3 linked regions of the Sus scrofa genome follow. The protein of the gene in region 1 purifies or fractionates together with the protein of each later gene. This does not show direct contact. Links are inferred from orthologs where the notes say so. Each region holds a gene or a part of one and is shown in the gene's direction. Other genes may lie near its edges.

The links. The genes of interacting proteins can lie anywhere in the genome.
Region 2: the proteins of POLR2F (region 1) and POLR3C purify together in Homo sapiens (affinity purification with mass spectrometry; 3 studies listed by BioGRID and IntAct, with this or other methods). This does not show direct contact. The link is inferred for Sus scrofa from reciprocal best matches to the Homo sapiens genes POLR2F and POLR3C.
Region 3: the proteins of POLR2F (region 1) and POLR3G purify together in Homo sapiens (affinity purification with mass spectrometry; 3 studies listed by BioGRID and IntAct, with this or other methods). This does not show direct contact. The link is inferred for Sus scrofa from reciprocal best matches to the Homo sapiens genes POLR2F and POLR3G.

The regions. Positions count from the first base shown.
Region 1 is NC_010447.5:9,914,135-9,919,940, reverse strand, and holds the start of POLR2F (DNA-directed RNA polymerases I, II, and III subunit RPABC2), read left to right. Parts: upstream 1-2,219; 5' UTR 2,220-2,331; coding exon 2,332-2,351; intron 2,352-4,035; coding exon 4,036-4,105; intron 4,106-5,806. Other genes in the region: C5H22orf23 (UPF0193 protein EVG1), read right to left, coding at 309-371, 1,595-1,898. UniProt on the Homo sapiens protein: DNA-dependent RNA polymerase catalyzes the transcription of DNA into RNA using the four ribonucleoside triphosphates as substrates.
Region 2 is NC_010446.5:99,490,579-99,496,552, reverse strand, and holds the start of POLR3C (DNA-directed RNA polymerase III subunit RPC3), read left to right. Parts: upstream 1-2,415; 5' UTR 2,416-2,751; coding exon of another isoform or gene 2,752-2,853; 5' UTR 2,854-3,337; exon of another isoform or gene 3,338-3,381; intron 3,382-4,345; exon of another isoform or gene 4,346-4,350; 5' UTR 4,351-4,370; coding exon 4,371-4,517; intron 4,518-5,044; coding exon 5,045-5,300; intron 5,301-5,410; coding exon 5,411-5,596; intron 5,597-5,974. Other genes in the region: E3 ubiquitin-protein ligase RNF115, read right to left, coding at 2,752-2,853. UniProt on the Homo sapiens protein: DNA-dependent RNA polymerase catalyzes the transcription of DNA into RNA using the four ribonucleoside triphosphates as substrates.
Region 3 is NC_010444.4:97,645,801-97,651,814, forward strand, and holds the start of POLR3G (DNA-directed RNA polymerase III subunit RPC7), read left to right. Parts: upstream 1-2,455; 5' UTR 2,456-2,594; intron 2,595-6,014. Other genes in the region: MBLAC2 (metallo-beta-lactamase domain-containing protein 2), read right to left, coding at 1,438-1,891. UniProt on the Homo sapiens protein: DNA-dependent RNA polymerase catalyzes the transcription of DNA into RNA using the four ribonucleoside triphosphates as substrates.

The DNA.
Region 1 (5,806 bases):
AACTCTCAATACCAAATTCTTAACCCACTATGGAACACTTTTTTTTTTTTTTTTTTTTGGTCTTTTAAATGAGGTCCCCTACCTCTTAATATGGAGAAGCATTAAAAATATGGCCCATGGCGTTCCCCTGTGGCACAGCGGGTTAAGGATCTGGCATTATCACTGCAGCGGCTTGGGTTGTTGTGAGGCATGGGTTTGATCCCTGGCCCAGGATCTTCCACATGCTGCAGGCCCTCCTGACCGTCCAAAAAGAGTCCTAGGGTCCAGAAATCCCTCGGCCCAGGAAGCCTCTGTGGACTGCCGCTTACTTTTCATGGTGTCCATGATGTGGCGCTGTTGGAAGTTAGTCAGTTTGGATTCCTTCATCATGGCTGCAAGACAAAGCACTTCAGTGAGGCCTCCTGGGCTGCGAGCAAATGTCCTCGTTTTGCCTCTGGACCCCATTCTGTACCTGTGTACTCCCGCTCTTCCTTTCCTGCTTCATTGTTTTCTATAGCACCCATCACCATCTAAGTTCTATATATTTTACTTATTTATCATTGTAACATTCCTACTGAAATATTAGCTCCATGGATGCAAGTCTTTTTTCTTTTTTCTGTTTTGCCTTTTTAGGGCCACACCTGCTGCAAATGGAAGTTCTCAGGCTAGAGGTTGAATCGGAGTTGTAGCCATTGGTCTACACCACAGCCACAGGAATGCCAGATCCGACCATGTCTGCGACCTACACCACAGCTCATGGCAATGCTGGCTCCTTAACCCACTGAGTGAGGCCAGGGATGGAATCTGCGTCCTTATGGATGCTAGTCAGATTTGTTTCCACGAGCCACGAAGGGAACTCCACAAGATTTTTTTTTCTTTTTCTTTTTTTTTTTTTTTTTTTACTGCTGTATCATCAGCAACTGGAACAATGTCTAAAAGCTCACAGTGGGCTTAAAATCTTTTTTTGTTGTTGTTGAGTGAATGAACAAGCAGTCATTAAGCATGTGCCAGGGGCTGGAGTTACAATTGCGAGCCAAAACAGGCACCGTGTCCTGATGGGAGTTCATGAACTAGAAGGGCAGATGGATGTTAATTCAACATGAATTCATAGGGACACACAAGGTATCTGACTACAGGTTACGCTAAGCCCAGTGAAGGAAAAGGCACTGGGAGTGTGTGGGCACCTAACGGTTGGTTGCACTGTGTTGGTGGTGGGTGGGGAGGAAATAAGGCTTCTCTGGAGAAATTGAAAGTGTGATATAGTATGTGTCACTGGGTCACCATGCTGTACAGTAGGAAAAAAAAAATTGTATTGGGGAAATAACAATTACAAAAAAAAAGAATAACCAAAAAAAAAAAAGTGTGATATAAGGGATGCATAGCAGTTAACTACTCTAAAATTCGTGAGTTCTTTGACTTTTGGCCACTTTCGAGTTGCAGGACCCCCAAACTTTCCTGAACCCCAGGCTTCTTATCTGAAAAATGAAAACAGCAATTGCAAGCCATAAGTCATGCAGGTGAGAACTGAGTTACAGAGGTTAACAGTGACTACCGCTCTCCTTTTGTCCTTTCATGCACTGACACCACCGCCCCGCCCCGCCCGACCACCACTGACCTCTGAGCAGCTCGCAGGTTCTTGGGGTGTAAGCGGCCGGCTTGGGGCAGCGCCAGAAGCCAGTTCCTTTGGTCACAGTCTCCACCCTCTCCTGGGAAGCCATGGGAGGGCTCTGAGGAGGGAAAAACGCGACGACACACCCCCTGTCTCCCATATACAACCTCTGCTTCCGCATCCCCAACACCACCCAAAGTTTGGGTCTGGCGGGGGCGGGGCCCGCAAGAGAATCGTGACGCCGCCCATCAATATCGCGACAGTGCCCAATCCTCCCACCCGGAACAGATCCACTGGCAGATACACACATGCGAACAGAGACCTCATCCAGACCCGGCGCCTGTGGCAGGGAAGCCACCTCTGGAGGAAAGGGGCGTTAGGGTAACCTTGCCCGTTGTGTGATAGACCCAAACGGAAACCTCACTCTTAGGTAAGACTCCGGCTGGGTGCCCACTGAGAGTGGCCGCTAGGCTCTGAAGGAGCACCCGCGCCGGAGCCCTGCAGGAATGCTTTTGAGATCTCCGCTGCTCAAGCTCTGGTTATACACTCTGGCTACCATGGTAACAAGCTCTAGCTTCTCGGCGCGTGCGCACTATCGCCCTGCCGATCCTCCCGGAAGCAATTGCCTCTAGGTCACAGCGCAGGCGCAGAGTGCGCGTGGCGCAGCTCGTGGCGGAGGCGCGCAGTTTGCGGGTCTCCGCGCGACTCTTAGCGCAGAACCAGGGAGCTGCGGCGCGGGCGTCATGTCTGACAACGAGGACAAGTGAGTGCGGGAGCAAAGTGAGCTTTGCCGAGCCTGGTCAAAGGAGGTTAAGGAGCCGTTAACCGAGGGGCAATGCGTGAGGGGACTGGGGGTATTGAGGGGCCCGCGGAGCTGAAGAAGGGAAAGGCGGGGGGACCAGGAGCTTAGACCTGGTCACAGGCTGGGCCAAGAAAAGCCCCAGTTTGAGGATCCGGAGAGAATCAGTGAACGTGGTATCTTTCCACAAACTTTCACGGAGTCGGGCTCTGTCTCTTGATTTGGAATTACTGAGGTGAATTAGGCATAGCTCCTGCTCTTCAGGTAGGGGGCCCTTTCTAGAAAAGGGGACAGGCCCACAGACGGATACTGCAGGGGTCGTGTGAATTGCACGAAGTATGTAAAAGAAACCCAGCGGAGGGTCTGGGGAGACTTGAGGTGGTAAAAGTCTGGGAGGCTTGCGGTAATCCAGGAAAAAAAAAGGAGTGACTTGTACTAGGTAATCGTAGTAGAGGTAGTGAGAAGTGGTTTTGATTTCTGGGTTTATTTTGAAGCTAGAACCGGAAAGATTCCCTGAATGTGTGGAGGAGAGACAAAAATAGAGGCGTCTTTAGCATAAGAGTATTAGTCAAAGCTAAGAGAGGGGGCGATCATGGGGAGGCGGCAGGGGGGTGGGTGGTCAGTAGAGAAGAGGAGATGAATGAGCGTCAGAGCATCCTAACTGTGGAGTGCCTGGAGGGAAGAGAAGCTGAGAAAGAGCCACTGTGAGGCGGGGGAACACCAAGACCGCGAGGTGTCCTTTTCTTTCTTTCTTTCTTGGTCGCCCTTGTGGCATCTGGAGTTCCTGGGCCTGGGATCAGGTCCGAGCCACAGTTGTGACCTATGGCACAGCTGCAGCAGTGCTGGATCCTTAACCCACTGTGCCGGGCCAGGGCTCGAACCTGTGTCCCAGTGCTCCAGAGATGCTGCCAGTCCTGTTGCGCCGCAGCGGGAACTCCAGTGGAGAGTGTTTTGAGTGAGAGGGAGTGATTCGGTGTGCCACCTGACAGATCAGGCTAAATGAGAACAAGAATAGACCAGTGGATTTAGCAACGTGCAAATCATTGATGAACTTGAAAGGAGTGGTTTTGGTGGAGCCAAGGAGCTGAAAGTCTTTGGGAGTGAGATGATGACAGAATGTGAGGAGAAGAATTGGAAATGGCGAAGATGGACGACTCTTTCATGAATTTTTCTCCCACAGGGGGGCATGGAAATAGGGCTCTGGAGGGAATAGAAAAGGAAGCTTTGGCGTTCCTGTCATGGCTCAGTGGTTAACGAATCTGACTAGGAACCATGAGGTTGCAGGTTTGATCCCTGGCCTTGCTCAGTGGGTTAAGGATCCGGCGTTGCCATGAGCTGTGGTGTAGGTCACAGATGCGGCTTGGCTCTGGCATTGCTGTGGCTCTGGTGTAGGCTGGTGGCTACAGCTCTGATTAAACTCCTAGCCTGGGAACTTCCACGTGCCGCGGGTGTGGCCCTAGAAAAGACAAAACCAAAAGAAAAGAAAAGGAAGCTTTGTTTTAGTAAGTTGAGGACATCAAATGACTTAATAAATTATTATTATAAAATGATTTACTCAGTAAGTGCATATTTATTGAGCACCTCCTGCTTATCAGATCTATGCCCTCTTTGATTCTTGTAAGTGATGCTCTGCTTTCTTCTTGTACAGTTTTGATGGCGATGACTTTGACGATGTGGAGGAGGACGAAGGGCTAGATGACTTGGAAAATGCCGAGGAGGTAAGTGTTTAGCCTTGGGCTCTCCTCTCGGCAGCCCAAGTTGCCAGATAGCCCGGCCAGTGATGACTGAATGCATCTGCTTCTTGTCTGTAGTGAGGCCAGTTAGAGTGAGGAGAGGTCTAGTCCTGGGTGGTGGAGGTGGCCCGCAGGGTGGGCCTGAAGGATTTTGTCCACTTGGACCACAGCCTGTAGCTTCTGGGGTGGTTAGTTTACTGACAGGTGAAATATCCCCTTCATTCATTGAGCAAACATGTGTTGAATGTTTATTGTGTACCAGGAGCGCTGCAGGGTGGGGCTACATAAAGAGCAAGGGGGAGAGTGACCTGGAATAAAGCTGGAGAGGTAAGGGCCAAGGTCAGGCAGGATGTTGTAGCCTGCAGGTGGTGGGAAGCCACGGACAAGTTTTGAGCTGGGGAGTGGCATGGTCCAGTTTACACTTTAAAGGAACACTTTGGGGAGTTCCCGTGGTGGCTCAGTGGTTGCAGGTTCGATCCCTGGCCTTGCTCAGTGGGTTAAGGAGCTGGCGTTGCTGTGAGCTGTGATAGTAGGTTGCAGATGCAGCTCGGATCCTGCCTTGCTGTGGCTCTGGCGTAGGCCGGCTGCTACAGCTCTGATTAGACCCCTAGCCTGGGAACCTCCATGTGTCGCAGGAACGGCCCTAGAAAAGGCAAAAAGGCAAAAAAAAAAAAAAAAAAAAGGAATACTTTGGGGAGGAGCAACAGTAGGAGAGGCCAATTCAGGAGCTCTCACGGACCTCCAGGTGAGACCTGTAGCTGGCACTTGGGTGCTGATACTGCTGGAGATGAGAAAACGGATGCAAGAGATATTTTGGTAGATTGGATGTGGGCTGAGAAAGTGGGAGATGCCGAGGAAGACGAGTTTCTGGTGAATGAGTTACTAGCTTCATGGCTAAAGTGGGGCTTTGTGTCCTGTGTGACCGATGGATGGGGATGCTTGTGTGTTAGTTTAGGCTGGAAGCCGAAGCCTCTCCTTCAGGATTTCCTCTGCCTCGCCCTCTGGGATAGCAGTACACTGTGTCAGAAACCTCCTTCTCCACCCTTCTGCTCCCTCATTCCTGTCCCGTGGATTCTGCTTCCTATGTGTGGTTCAGCCCTGTTTCCCTTTCTCCATTCCTCCTGCCTCAGCCTGGTTTAGATCCTCCGTGCTCCTCACCCGCATTCCTACAGAAATTGTGTTACCAGTTTTCCTGCTTCAGTCTGCCCTTTGCGTTGCTGCCGCCAGAGCTGTCCTTTTTACCTCCTTACATGATTGATTGCTGTTGGTCTTCTAAAGGGTCTGTCTGCTTCGGCCCTTACCCTCTACAGTATATTCTCAACAGAGCATCCACACTGATTCCTTTAAATTTTTTTTTTTTTTTTTTTTTTTTGCTTTATTGGGCTGCTTCTGTGACATATGGACATTCCCAGGCTAGGGGTCAAATCAGAGCTATAGCTCCTGGCCTACACTGCAGTCACAGTAACACAGGATCCTTAACCCCCTGAGCAAGGCCAGGGATCGAACCTGTGTCCTCATGGAAGCTAGTCAGATTCATTAACCACTGAGCCATGATAGGAACTCCTGATCCTTTTAAATCCTTTTTTTTTGTCCTTTTAGGGCTGCACCCACGGCATATGGAGGTTCCCAGCTAGGGGTCTAATCAGAGATGTAGCCTCCAGCCTATGCTAGAGCAATGCCAGATCT
Region 2 (5,974 bases), on another chromosome or scaffold:
CAGAGTTCCCATCATGGCTCAGTGGTTAACGAACCTGACTAGGATCCATGAGGACTCGGGTTTGATTCCTGGTCTCACTTAGTGGGTTAAGGATCTGGCGTTGCGATGAGCTATGGTGTAGGTTGCAGACTCAGCTCATATCCTGCGTTGCTGTGGCTGTGGCATAGGCTGACAGCTACAGCTCCGACTGGACCCCTAGCCTGGGAACTTCCATATGTCACGGGTATGGTCCTAAAAAGACAAAAAAAGGCAAAAAAAAAAAAAAAAAAAAAAAAAAAAGCCCTCTTCAGTGTTGTCCTACATACACAAAAATCATTACTGACTAACCAGTGTTGAGTTGGTTTTTCAGAAGCAGAGAAAGAGATATACTGAATCAGCCACTTACTAACCTGATCATTCTTACAACCAACATTTTTAAGATGACATTTTCAAGATGGCAAGGCAATAAATAAATAAATAAATAAATAAATATGCATAGCAACAATGATTTACTAAAGGTTTCTCCTTTCTTCCTCAACTCACTCTTCCTTTTCTAACTCGGTCTATGCTATTGTCCTCAATCTGAATTCTACCTATCCTTCAAAACTCAATTTAGGAGTTCCCTAGTGGCCCAGCAGTTAAGGATTTGGCATTGTCACTGCTGTGGCACAGGTTAGATCCCTGGTCAGGGAATTTCCACACACCTTGGACGCAGAAAAAAAAAAAAAAAAACAAAAAAAAACTCAAATTTAAATCACATTTTGTTTGTCACTTCTTCCCAACCTCATATCACCAACACCTCCCTCTGAATTCTAAAGCACATATTATCCATCCTCATTCACCTTGGTTATTACTTTTAACAATACTGTGAGGTGCTTAAGAGCAGAAACCATATATTCCTCAGTATTACCTCCAGGACCTTCAGTTGAGAACCTTGTATGTCTGCAGGGAAGTATTCCGTTACACTTAAAAGTGTTATGCCTCAATTTACAAATCAGGCATGACAGATAATAAATCAGACTAGAAAGATCAATGACTTCTCCTCCAGGCATCAAACTAAGGCTTAGAAAAACACCTAAAAAGTCTTTCAAATGAGCCCTTTTCAAGAGCACTTTGAAGTGAGGACTTGAGATGGTAGGGAGAAAAGATACAGTAAGTGGAGGAAAGTTAGACTGTTTTCTCACTCTCAAAGGCAAACGGTGAACAGCAACTTAAAGATCAGAATAGCCAAGGCCTCACTGTTCATTAGGGCATCACATTCAACATGTCACTCATCACACATGCACTGGCTGAATTCCAGACTCCCTCTCTGTGGTAAGGAAGAGTTCTGGAGCCTCCAATGTCCACTGGAAAAACAAACAAACAAACAAACAAGCCACGGCACCTGCTCTTCTCAGCACTGAAGTATAGCAAAAAGCACACAGACACAGACACACAGCCAAATCATCCAAGCAAAACTAAAAGAGCGTGTAGATGAAACTACGACCATGAAGTTAGGGGTGGGGCAAATAGAGAAGAAAGAAAATACAGCAAAAGCCTGAAAAAGCACAACTCAAGTGAAAAGGCTAAAATACTGTTTAGGCACTTTTCACTGGACTCCACTGGTGTTTCTAAGAACTAAGACACAGAGACACACTTTAATAGGCTTTCTCACAGATTGTATCTGAGACACTATAAACACTGAGATAAGTAGTTACACAGACACCCTCTTAAGGCTGAACAAAGATACTTCTAAGGAAAAGAACAACCATAACTAGTTCTAAAGATGGTTGGCCAAAGGTAGGATTAACATTCACCCTGGTGGATCTCCCTGCAGTAGTAACTCAACCTAAAACAGCCTCTGGGCTTGGGGTGCAATAGCTGGCAAGCATGCTGCAGAAGCACTTTTTTTCCACAGCCAACAGCACTACCTCTCTAGGGGCTAACACAGTCTGGCAGAAACTGACGAAAACCAATTTTACGTCAGAGGATGCAGTCCCCAACATTCTGTCCTAGATCTTCTCACTAAGTGAAGAGAGAGAATGGGGGAGGGGAAGGAGGGGCGGGTAAGGCAGGTGGTGCTAAAGATACTGGCAGCATGACAACCAAAATAAGAGAGTTGAAAGAATATGTTCTGCCTTCTTCCTAAAGCCATTTCCTTCGACAGTGATTGGGATCGCAGTCCGCAAGTCATTAGTACACCGCTGTTTTCACTTTCACAAGAACGCTGGAAACCCCTGAAGAGTAAAATCCCCCTCTCTGCCCAGTTACCTTCCAACCCTCCCTCCCCCCCCCGCCCCGCTTTCTTCCCTCCTTCCCTAGAGACAATGAATAAAGACAATCCTCAGCAATCCGCTATATTGCTTCAATGAGGATAGTGGAAGGGGAGATCTGATGAAAAGTGGAAAAGGAAATAAAGATGAGAAGCAACAGCGGAAGGGGGGGGGAGGTCATTGTGGAAAGAGACAAGGTGAAGAAGAATGTAAGAAAACGGAGAGGAGGGGGTCAGCAGAAAACTTGCTAAGGAAAACCAGGAAAAAAAAAATAATAGAGGGCAGGTAAAAAGGGGAAAGAGTGAGGGACAGGTGGAGCATCCGAATGGAAAAAAGGCTGGGCGGGAGTTACTGAGCCACACAGCCCGGACGCCCGGGGTTTAGGAGACAGTGGGCAGCAGGTACCTGGGATACCCATGTCAGGGGAGTCGGGGCTGTGCGGGAAGCCTAAGCGCCGTTCTGGGACATCCGGACGAGGAACCCACGCGGACGCTGGCGTGCAGAGGACACACACTCTTACCGGTAGTTTGGGGCTGACCTCGCCCTTGCAAAAGTGGCAGAAAAACCGGTGCGCGGCAACAGCGGCGCCTGCGCCGGCCCCGGCCGCCGAGGCCTCCGCCATTTTTCTCTCCCGGCGCCGCCGTCCGAGAGGGCAGCCGGCCCGTCGCTCCCCAGGCCGCTACCTCCCGGCTACAAGAGACGCCTCTGCCTCCGCCGCCGCCGCTTCTTCAGCGCAGCTGGCCGCTCCAGAGTCCGCGCGGGTCACGTGAGCCCGCCCGGCCCACAAGGCGTCGGCGAGGACGGCGACCCCACGGCCCGCCTCCCGGCACCAAAGAGCTACAGGAAGGAGAGTCCGTCCGGCGCTGCCCTCCCGCCGGCTCCTCTAACACCCCTCGCCGGTCCTCCAACCTCCCAGCGAGAAGGAAGCAAGAGCGTCCCCGGAAACCACCGAAACGCTGGGGTAGAGCGGCACACGTTTTTCCTCTTTGCTGACCCTCCTCGTTGGCCGGGCTCCTGCGCAAAAGGGCCTTGGGGTGCCTTCTGCTCGAGCCGCTGGCTGGAGCCGCACGAGGTCGGCGGCGGCTTTAGATTGCATTGACCCAGAGGTTAGTGGAAAATGCGGTCTGAATGAGGCCGTTTCTCTAGACCCAGGGACCCAGTCCGGAACCGGAACCTGGGGGAAGGAAGTGTAGAATCAGGAGCCAGGTTCCTTGGAAATCCTTATCAAGGATGGCAGATGGTCTGGGGATACTTCCCCAAAGACCTGTGAGTGGGAATACTGAGACTGAAAGACACAGTCTTGGCTTCTGAGGGATTGGGAGAAATAAATGAACAGACCAGTGTGTGGTAGCACTTATGACAACAAGTGATTTTATAGTCAACTATGTTTGTTTCTTTTTGTGTCTACTTTGTCAAGGAGTAGAAATTTCAGAATACTGCCCTGCCAACAACATGCTTCATCTGTTGTTTGAAACACTCTGTTGAGACGCTCCTAATTTATTTTGCAAAGTTGTCATTTCTTACGGATTGGGAATGACACTTCCTGTTCACTCCCAATAGGCTGTGAATAGTGTCCTTAATTCCTCCAAATAAAATCATCTACACACGATATTTAAAGAAAATTGGACTCGTACATCCCATAAGGATAAGTTTGATATATTGTCTTGCAGTCTTTTTTTTCTTATACCTATAAGAAAAAAGGGGGTTTTTTTTTCACAATAATTTAAGTTTCTTCTACATTTTGCTTTGTAACCTGCTTCTTTCACTTAATGAACAATTTTGTACACTAATACATGTTACACTTCATTGTAAACATAGACGTAGTATGCCATTGTATGAGTCTACCATAATTTATTGAAATAATCCCGTATTGTTAGATATTATATTGTTTCTGGAATGTCAGTATTCTAAAGTGACATCATTATTATTCGCTTGAAACAAAATAGCCAAAGCAAAAGTATTAGGTCAAAGATATGCAAGATTTTAAGGCTTTTGACGTATCTACTGTCAAGTTGCCCTCCAAAAAGTACATGAATTTACACTTAGCAGCTCTACTCCAACATAAAAGAAAAACTTCCCATCGTGCTATTTTTTCTTTTCTTTTCTTTTCTTTTCTCAGGTCTGAGACTTCTCAGTACAATGACTCAAGCAGAAATTAAACTGTGTTCTTTATTGCTGCAAGAGCATTTTGGAGAGATTGTAGAAAAAATTGGAGTCCACCTAATCAGAACTGGCAGCCAGCCACTAAGAGTTATTGCCCATGACACAAGAACATCGCTGGATCAGGTATGTTTGGATCACACTAATTTGCTTTTATTTCATTAGTTTCCTTTACCTACCCTTGAATATTACTACTCCCCACCCCACAAAATACAAAAGAGAGCTACACTGAGATCAGAACAGTGTCATTGGGAGGGAGAGAGGATGAGACATAGTGCCTAAGGTTCTGCTTCTCAAAGCGATCTGGCTCACTGTGGCTTCTTAGGCAAACCTGTGCTTTTCATTTGCCATACTTCATTCATGCATGATGAGTCTATTAATTTCAGCACTACCTTTAAGGAATGGCAGTAACAGAGAGCAAGTAAGTTGTACTTTGTAAGATAAAGATCAGAGGAAATATGAGCTAGGAATCCTCCTGATTTCTTCATAAGATGAACAATGCGATTCTTAACAGCTATTCCAATGGAGAGAGAGAAGATGCACGGAGGTTCCAGCCATCTCCTGAAGTTTAGTAAATTGTTGGACAGAAATTGCCAACAATAATGAACTGCATTTTCCAATTTTTTTTTCTCTTTCTTTTGTGTCCTCTCTAGGTTAAAAAAGCCCTTTGTGTCCTCATCCAGCATAACCTGGTGATATATCAAGTGCACAAACGTGGTGTGGTGGAGTATGAAGCCCAGTGCAGCCGGGTGTTGCGAATGCTTAGGTATCCCCGGTACATCTATACTGCCAAAACGCTGTACAGTGACACTGGAGAGCTGATTGTTGAGGAGCTGCTGTTGAACGGCAAAATGACAATGTCAGCTGTTGTGAAGAAAGTAGCAGATCGGCTCACAGAGACTATGGAGGGTCAGTACTGTACCCACAGCTGTTAGCAAAAGCATAGATTGGCTGGCTGCAGGAGTGGCCCCTTAGCTGTCTGAGGCCATCTCACCTGCCTCTTTCCTCCTGTTGTACAGATGGCAAGACCATGGACTATGCTGAGGTATCGAACACATTTGTGCGACTAGCAGACACACACTTCGTGCAGCGTTGCCCCTTGGTGCCTGCCACTGAGAATTCAGACCCTGGGCCATTGCCACCTGCCCCTAATCTTGTCATCAATGAAAAGGACATGTACCTGGTTCCTAAACTGAGCTTGATAGGTAAGGAATTTTGACCCCTAGAACTGTAACTAATGGTATATTCTTCCTCAGTGATTGTTGAATGAATGAATGAATCAGTAAGCAGTTACCGAGGATTTACTCTATGCCAGTTACTGTGGTATAAAGTCATGCAAAAAAACCCATTATGGTCCCTGCCCTCACGGGATATAAGTCTTGTAGAGGAGGCTTCCATTAATCAAATAGCCTCACAGATGAATGACTGACAAACTGTGATAGGTATTATGAAGGAAAAGTATGGGGCGTTATGAAAATATATAATGGGTGCGTTGTGGTGCAGTGGAAACAAATCCAGCTAGGAACCATGAGGTTGCAGATTCAATCCCTGGCCTTGCTCGGTGGATTAAGGATCTGGCATTG
Region 3 (6,014 bases), on another chromosome or scaffold:
AGTTTAATCAAGAAATACAGTAACTAAAAGCACATTTAATGTAAATGTAGTTTTCTTTCATCTGAAATTGTCAGGTAAAGTAGGACTCCCATCTAAACCCATGGGTTTTTTTTTTTTTAATTTTTAGATTTAAAATTTTAATGAAGACTTTTTAAGCAGGGTGTGAGATATACAATCTTGCTTTCTATTTTTTATATCTCATGTGATCAAGATCTCATTTTTGTAAAATATTTCATTATTGCATACTGGTTGGTCATAAAATGAACCTTACTGTACTGCAGCAACTAGATTTTTCCACCTCTTAGAGGAAGGATTTAATAGATTAAATTGGCAAATAAAATGGTTTCACGATAGAAATGAAAGGGACTTTCACATCCTACTCAGAATTACCAGTTTTATGGAGGATTAACGTGAGAGCTGCATGCTTTGATCTTATTGCACCTGGGTTCAAATCCTAGCTCTTGTTACTATCTTGTTCTGTAAATTCTAGGCAAGCCATTTAATTAGGGGTCAGCAACCTCGCTTCCAATGAGTTGTCAGGATTAAATGAAATCATCAAAAGCATCCTAAAAAGAAAATATACAAACAGCACTGCTATGACTGGTTCAATTATTTAAGTGCCTGTGTAGAGCTGGAAGGGCAGGAACCCTATCCTATTTTATTCTTTCTGAACCCCATCTTGTTTTTTCAGAGCCAAGAAGCCCAAGGTGATTTATGCATCAGTCCACATACTTCACCATCATCGGAAACAGCCTCCTCATTCATTAATCTTTCTCAGGCCTTGCTTTCAACCAGAACAGAGAGCTGCCATACTCTAAGATTCAGACATACTCTACTTTTTATGTTCACTATCAAGCTTCTTCTCTTGTGAGGCAACATCAAGAACAGAAACCTATCTGGAAGATAAGGATGAATGAACAGTTTGAAACCACTGACTGCTCTCTAATGGCTTTCTAAGCCTACAGGTGTGAACCGGGCAGATGAAGTCAGCAGTTCTCAAAAGCATAGAGCATGACATGCACTCTCCATGAGGCGTCATTCCTTTTAAGGAAGACTTTTCGCTAGAAAAGTGCCTGAAAATGTCGGACAGATGTTTGGGGAAAGAATGGAAATCCTAGATATAAGACTCTGTTGGTGTTATTGCTGTACGTTACACAGGAAACTGACTAGGGGGTGGGGCCGGCTCTCATTTGAGTACTCTGCATTGCTACCCGGTGCCAGAGCTGGTCTCCGGTAAGGAGGACTAAGACGGCCTACCATCGACCTGATGTCGACTGGGGTTTTGAATCAGGAAGGGTGAAACAGAAGTAGTGTTTCTGCGATGGGACAAAATAAGGCCCCTTACAGCCACGCACGTCTGCAACAAGCACTCCTCGGACAGTTTCTCCCCAATCCCTTCCCTTAATGAGAGAGCGCGCGCTCGTGAAGGGCCATTACCATCCTGCAGGATGAGGGTGGGCTGCACCGCCTGCACTCGAAACTGCCTGGCCCTCCAGCCGGGGCTCGGAGCCCGGACCACCTCACTGTCGGACAGCCAGGTCACGGTTTCAAAGTTGTCCCCGCGAGCCAGCGCCTCGGCCTCGGCGTGGTGCACTGCCACCCGGTCGAACTGGTAGAGGCCGCCGGAGTGGTCGAAATGCACGTGAGTGGCCACAGCCAGCAGTGGCCGGCATGCCGCATCCTCTTTGGCCTCGCGGTCCTGCAAAAGGCCAGAAGAGTACAGGTACTCCGGGAGGCTGCGCAGGCCCAGGCCTGTGTCGATCACAACGTCTTGCTCCGAGCCTCGCACTAGCCAGATGTTGGCGCGGTTGCCTGACTCATAGAAGCGTTCCTGAATCCAGAAGATACCGTCGCCCAGAGACTTGTGGGCGTACCACTCGAGCGCCGACATGCTGAGTAGGGATGCGGCCAGGCGGAGTGGGTGTGGGCGTGTGTGCCTCCTGCAGGCTGCCCAGACTCCGGCGCTGCGGCGGGATAGACTGGTCTGCCTGCAGTCGGGAAGAAGGCGCAGAGCAAGAAGGGGGCGGGGGATGCAAAAGGAGTGGGAGGAGAACTGGGAGGAGGAAGGACTCTCGGAGACGCTGCCTTCCGCACCCTCCCTCCCGGTCCGCAAAGAACAGAGACCTATCTCCTTGCACCCCGGTGCAGAAACAATCGCAGCATCAGAGGCCACAGCAGAAAGTAGCGTCAATTCAGTAGACAAGGGATTCAGAAAGCGACACTCTTCCTACCGCCAGGTGTTTGACTGTAGAGGGCAGGGGCCAGGTTTGGAAGGCCCCAGGGCCGCCCACACACCGCGCGCCGTGATGCGCACTTCCAGCCGGCGCAGAAAGAGTCAGGCCAAGGAGGTTGGACCGGTACGGTTCCCGCCAAGGGATAAAAAGCTCTCTCCCCAGAGGGCGGGGCCTACCTAGCGAGTGGGCGGAGCTAACTGGTGCGATCGGAACGCGATTCTGAGGCCTCGTGGAGGGCGGAGCGCGTTTTTCCAGAGGTGGAACCAGCACTCGGCGTCGGAACCTTCTGTCCGCACCCCTTCCTTGCCGGCCGGCACTTCGGCCGCACAGTTTTCTCAAGCTTCGAGACTTAGTAAGCAGGTAACAGAGGAGGCAATGGAGGGGTTGGGAGGAGATGGAATGAGTAGGGGGGGGAGTTAAAGGGGCACGTGGAAAAGACCGGGGAAGGCAGGAGTGGAGATTCATTAAAGAGCCTCTGGATTGAGGGACGTAGCGAGATCTCTTAATCCCTTCACAATCTTTTGAAATCGTCGTTCCAGATTTTATCTTGTCTCCACTTATTAGGACTGTTTTCAGTGAGTTCGAAGGGAATTTATGCTTTTACTGATGGTTGATTTTCAATTCCGATGGTATGATTGCTTCAAACACGAGTCATTGCCGCAGACTTGCTGCTAAGGACGCACTATTCAGTACGTTTTTTGTTTTTTGTTTTTTACCGTTAGCACTTTACCCTGTACTGTGAGGAGAGGTGTTGTTGATAAGGTTTTACTTCTCTTCTGAAAAATTAAATTATATATTCCTTCCCCTCCCCTTCCTTGTTTTGGTTACTTTGCCCGCTGTTGGAAGAGAGCAAAGAAAGTTGGTAGAAAGGCTCAACTAAGGAAGGGTGGAGGCAGCTGCACCTTGTGAGGGCAGGAAAAGTGGATAATGATTGGGTGTGGCCCCATCAGCTGAAAAAATCATCCCTAGTATTAACATAAGGTCCCTGTCCCCATCCCTCAGCTCCTCGCTGTTGGTATATCCATTCAGACTTAAACAATTCCCTTGAGAACTCGACTAACCTCCCTATCCAGCCAGGAAAAATTATAAAGAGACCCATGAGACAGCATTATAAAAGATAATTATGAAAACCCTTATTGTCTCAGCTACTAATAAGCCTTCATAGAGGGAGAGGTGTTCTCTCCTTCCCTATAAACCTTAAGTCTTTGAGGGGGATGCAACTTTTCTGAATGTTTACCTAACCTAGTTAGAATTTATCCAGACACTCTGTTCAGGGCTATCCTTATGTACAAGTCCCTCAGCTAAATGATGTGTGAAAAACAGAATTGTGTTGTTTTTTTTTTTTTTTTAAAGTCATGATCTGGGTTCTCAGGAATTTGAGGGAAGCAATATCTTCACAAAAATGTTTGCAGTAAAAAGCAAATGAGATATGTACCCCAGAGGAAGTAAAAACCAGGTGCTATGAGAATATGCATGGAAGGGACTGATGAGTAGAGGCATTTGAGCTGGCCTTAAAAGACCACTGTTGTTAGGATGTTCTCAGCACGAAAGTAGAGAGCTCTCTGTAGTTTTATTTTTCCTCTAGGTAAAGGGAGGTGAATTGGAGTGATATTCTTACTAAGCCATGAGCTCAGCAATAATTCATCCAATTTTTATTGGACTTTTGCCAGGCTCTAGTTGGTGATGGGGCAGGAAGAGGTGAATAAATCTTCAAAGAGGCCTTCACACTTACAGATCCTTCTGCTTGTATTACACTTTCCCTTGTATATCCTTTCCTGATTCTCAGCATGGCCTTTTCCTTCTGTCAGTTTTGTGCTCAAATATTACAGAATACAGGACCTCTTCAACCACTCTTTCTGTAATAGCACCCATGTTTCCTGCTTTTTTTTTCCACATCACTGATCACTACCTGACATTTTCTATGAAATATTTTTTCCCTTTCCTGTAGTAGACTCTAAGCACCATGAAAACAGGGGTTTTGTTTTATTCACTATTATATTCCCAATTCATAGAAGATGGCCTGACCTAAGAGTGCTTAATTAATACTTGAAGAAGGATAACTGAAGAACTTATGGGGAGACAGACAAGAACTGATGATTACAACATGCTTTTTAAATGGTAATAAAACAGGGTAGTATTTGGGAGACAGAAAAGAGAGAGGCCTAGCTCCACTTAGGGTGGAGGAAATGGTCTCAGAGAAGTGGCATTTGCATGGTATCTTAAATGATGATGGGGCTTGCTCAGGTGGATGTGGCATCCCAGCAGAAAGAACACTACAAGCAAGAGCTGATATGGCAGATTTGGGAGTGGTCAGGAAAGGAGAAGGTGCCAGATGCACAAAGTCAGACTCCAAAGCTCTGTTGCTTAAGAAGGAGAGTGAAACATCAAGGTTTATGTTCTAGAGGGATGTCTGGAGAGTGGTTTGAAAGAGGAAGTCTGGCTATGGGAAGGTTGGTCCGGGTCAGGGATGGTGAAGAAAGGCAGATATGTGAAAGGGGACACAGAACTGATAGTCTTCTACCATTAAATGAGGATATCAAGGGAGTCGAGGACAAGGTCAACAGGACCAGCTTCTGAATAGGGCAATTTAAGTGTCATTCATCAGGAAGGATACTGTGACCAGACTTTCAGTGCCTCTCTCAGAATCCATACCTGCTTATATGTTTATTCACTTAGCAAATTTGTGCAAGAGACTGTGAGAAGTGGAAGACAATACATTTAAGCCACAATTATAACTCACAAGGTTAGAGCTAGGAGGAATTTCGGGCATGAGCGCAACCTCTGCCACAAGATTGTTTCCATGCTTTTGCATTTCAGCTCTTGGATGCTTGAACTGCACTTGTCAAACTATTTTAGAACACTTCTGAACAGAAATTTTCAGAAAGCATCCCAGAATGGAAGGGTGGTGCCTCTGATTTTATATTTTTAAATCCAATCCATTTGGTCATTACTATTCCACTTCATTGTAAAGATTAAAGACATCTCTGCGATTTAAAAGGTCTTCAGCTAACCTGGTAGTGTGCTGCAGGCAGCATAATATAAATGCTAAGGACAATGGAAGGGTATCCTGACACTTTAATGCAGTCTTATCTTTGTTAGGAATTAATTCTTTGTCTTTAGGCACTCAATGGACTTCGGACTTCATAGTCTCACTTTCCTCTTCTATATAACAGGAAATTTAGTCTGGAGCAGTGGTTCTTAACTTAGGTTACACGTAATCTCCTGGGATGCCTTAAAAAGTGCTAGGGAGTTCCTGTCGTGGCTCAGCATTAATGAACCCCACTGGTATCCATGAGGATGCAGGTTCGATCCCTGGTCTCAATCAGTGGGTAAAGGATCTGCTGTTGCCAGTGAACTGTGGTGTAGGTCTCAGTCACAGCTCCGATCTCAAGATGCTATGGATCTGGCATAGGTGGGCAGCTGTAGCTCTGATTTGACCCCTAGCCTGAGAACCTCCATATGCTGCGGATGTGGCCCTAAAAAGACAAAAAAAAAAAAAAAAAAAAAAAAAAAAGAAAAAACAAAAGGTCCTATTGCCTAAATCCTATCTTCAGAGATTCTGAGGTGAATGCGTTGTTCCAGCGTGATGCTTGAGAGCTTTTTGTTTGTTGGTTGGTTGGTTTATTTTAACTCTCCTGATGATTCTAGTGTACAGCTGGGTCCCAAACTTATTCTAGAAGTTAAAAACCAAAAACCTTAATAAGTGAGCAGACTGAATTGTATTTCTGTAGGGAGATTTGCTCATAAAATCACAATAAGTAAACAAATAAGGAAAGCTTA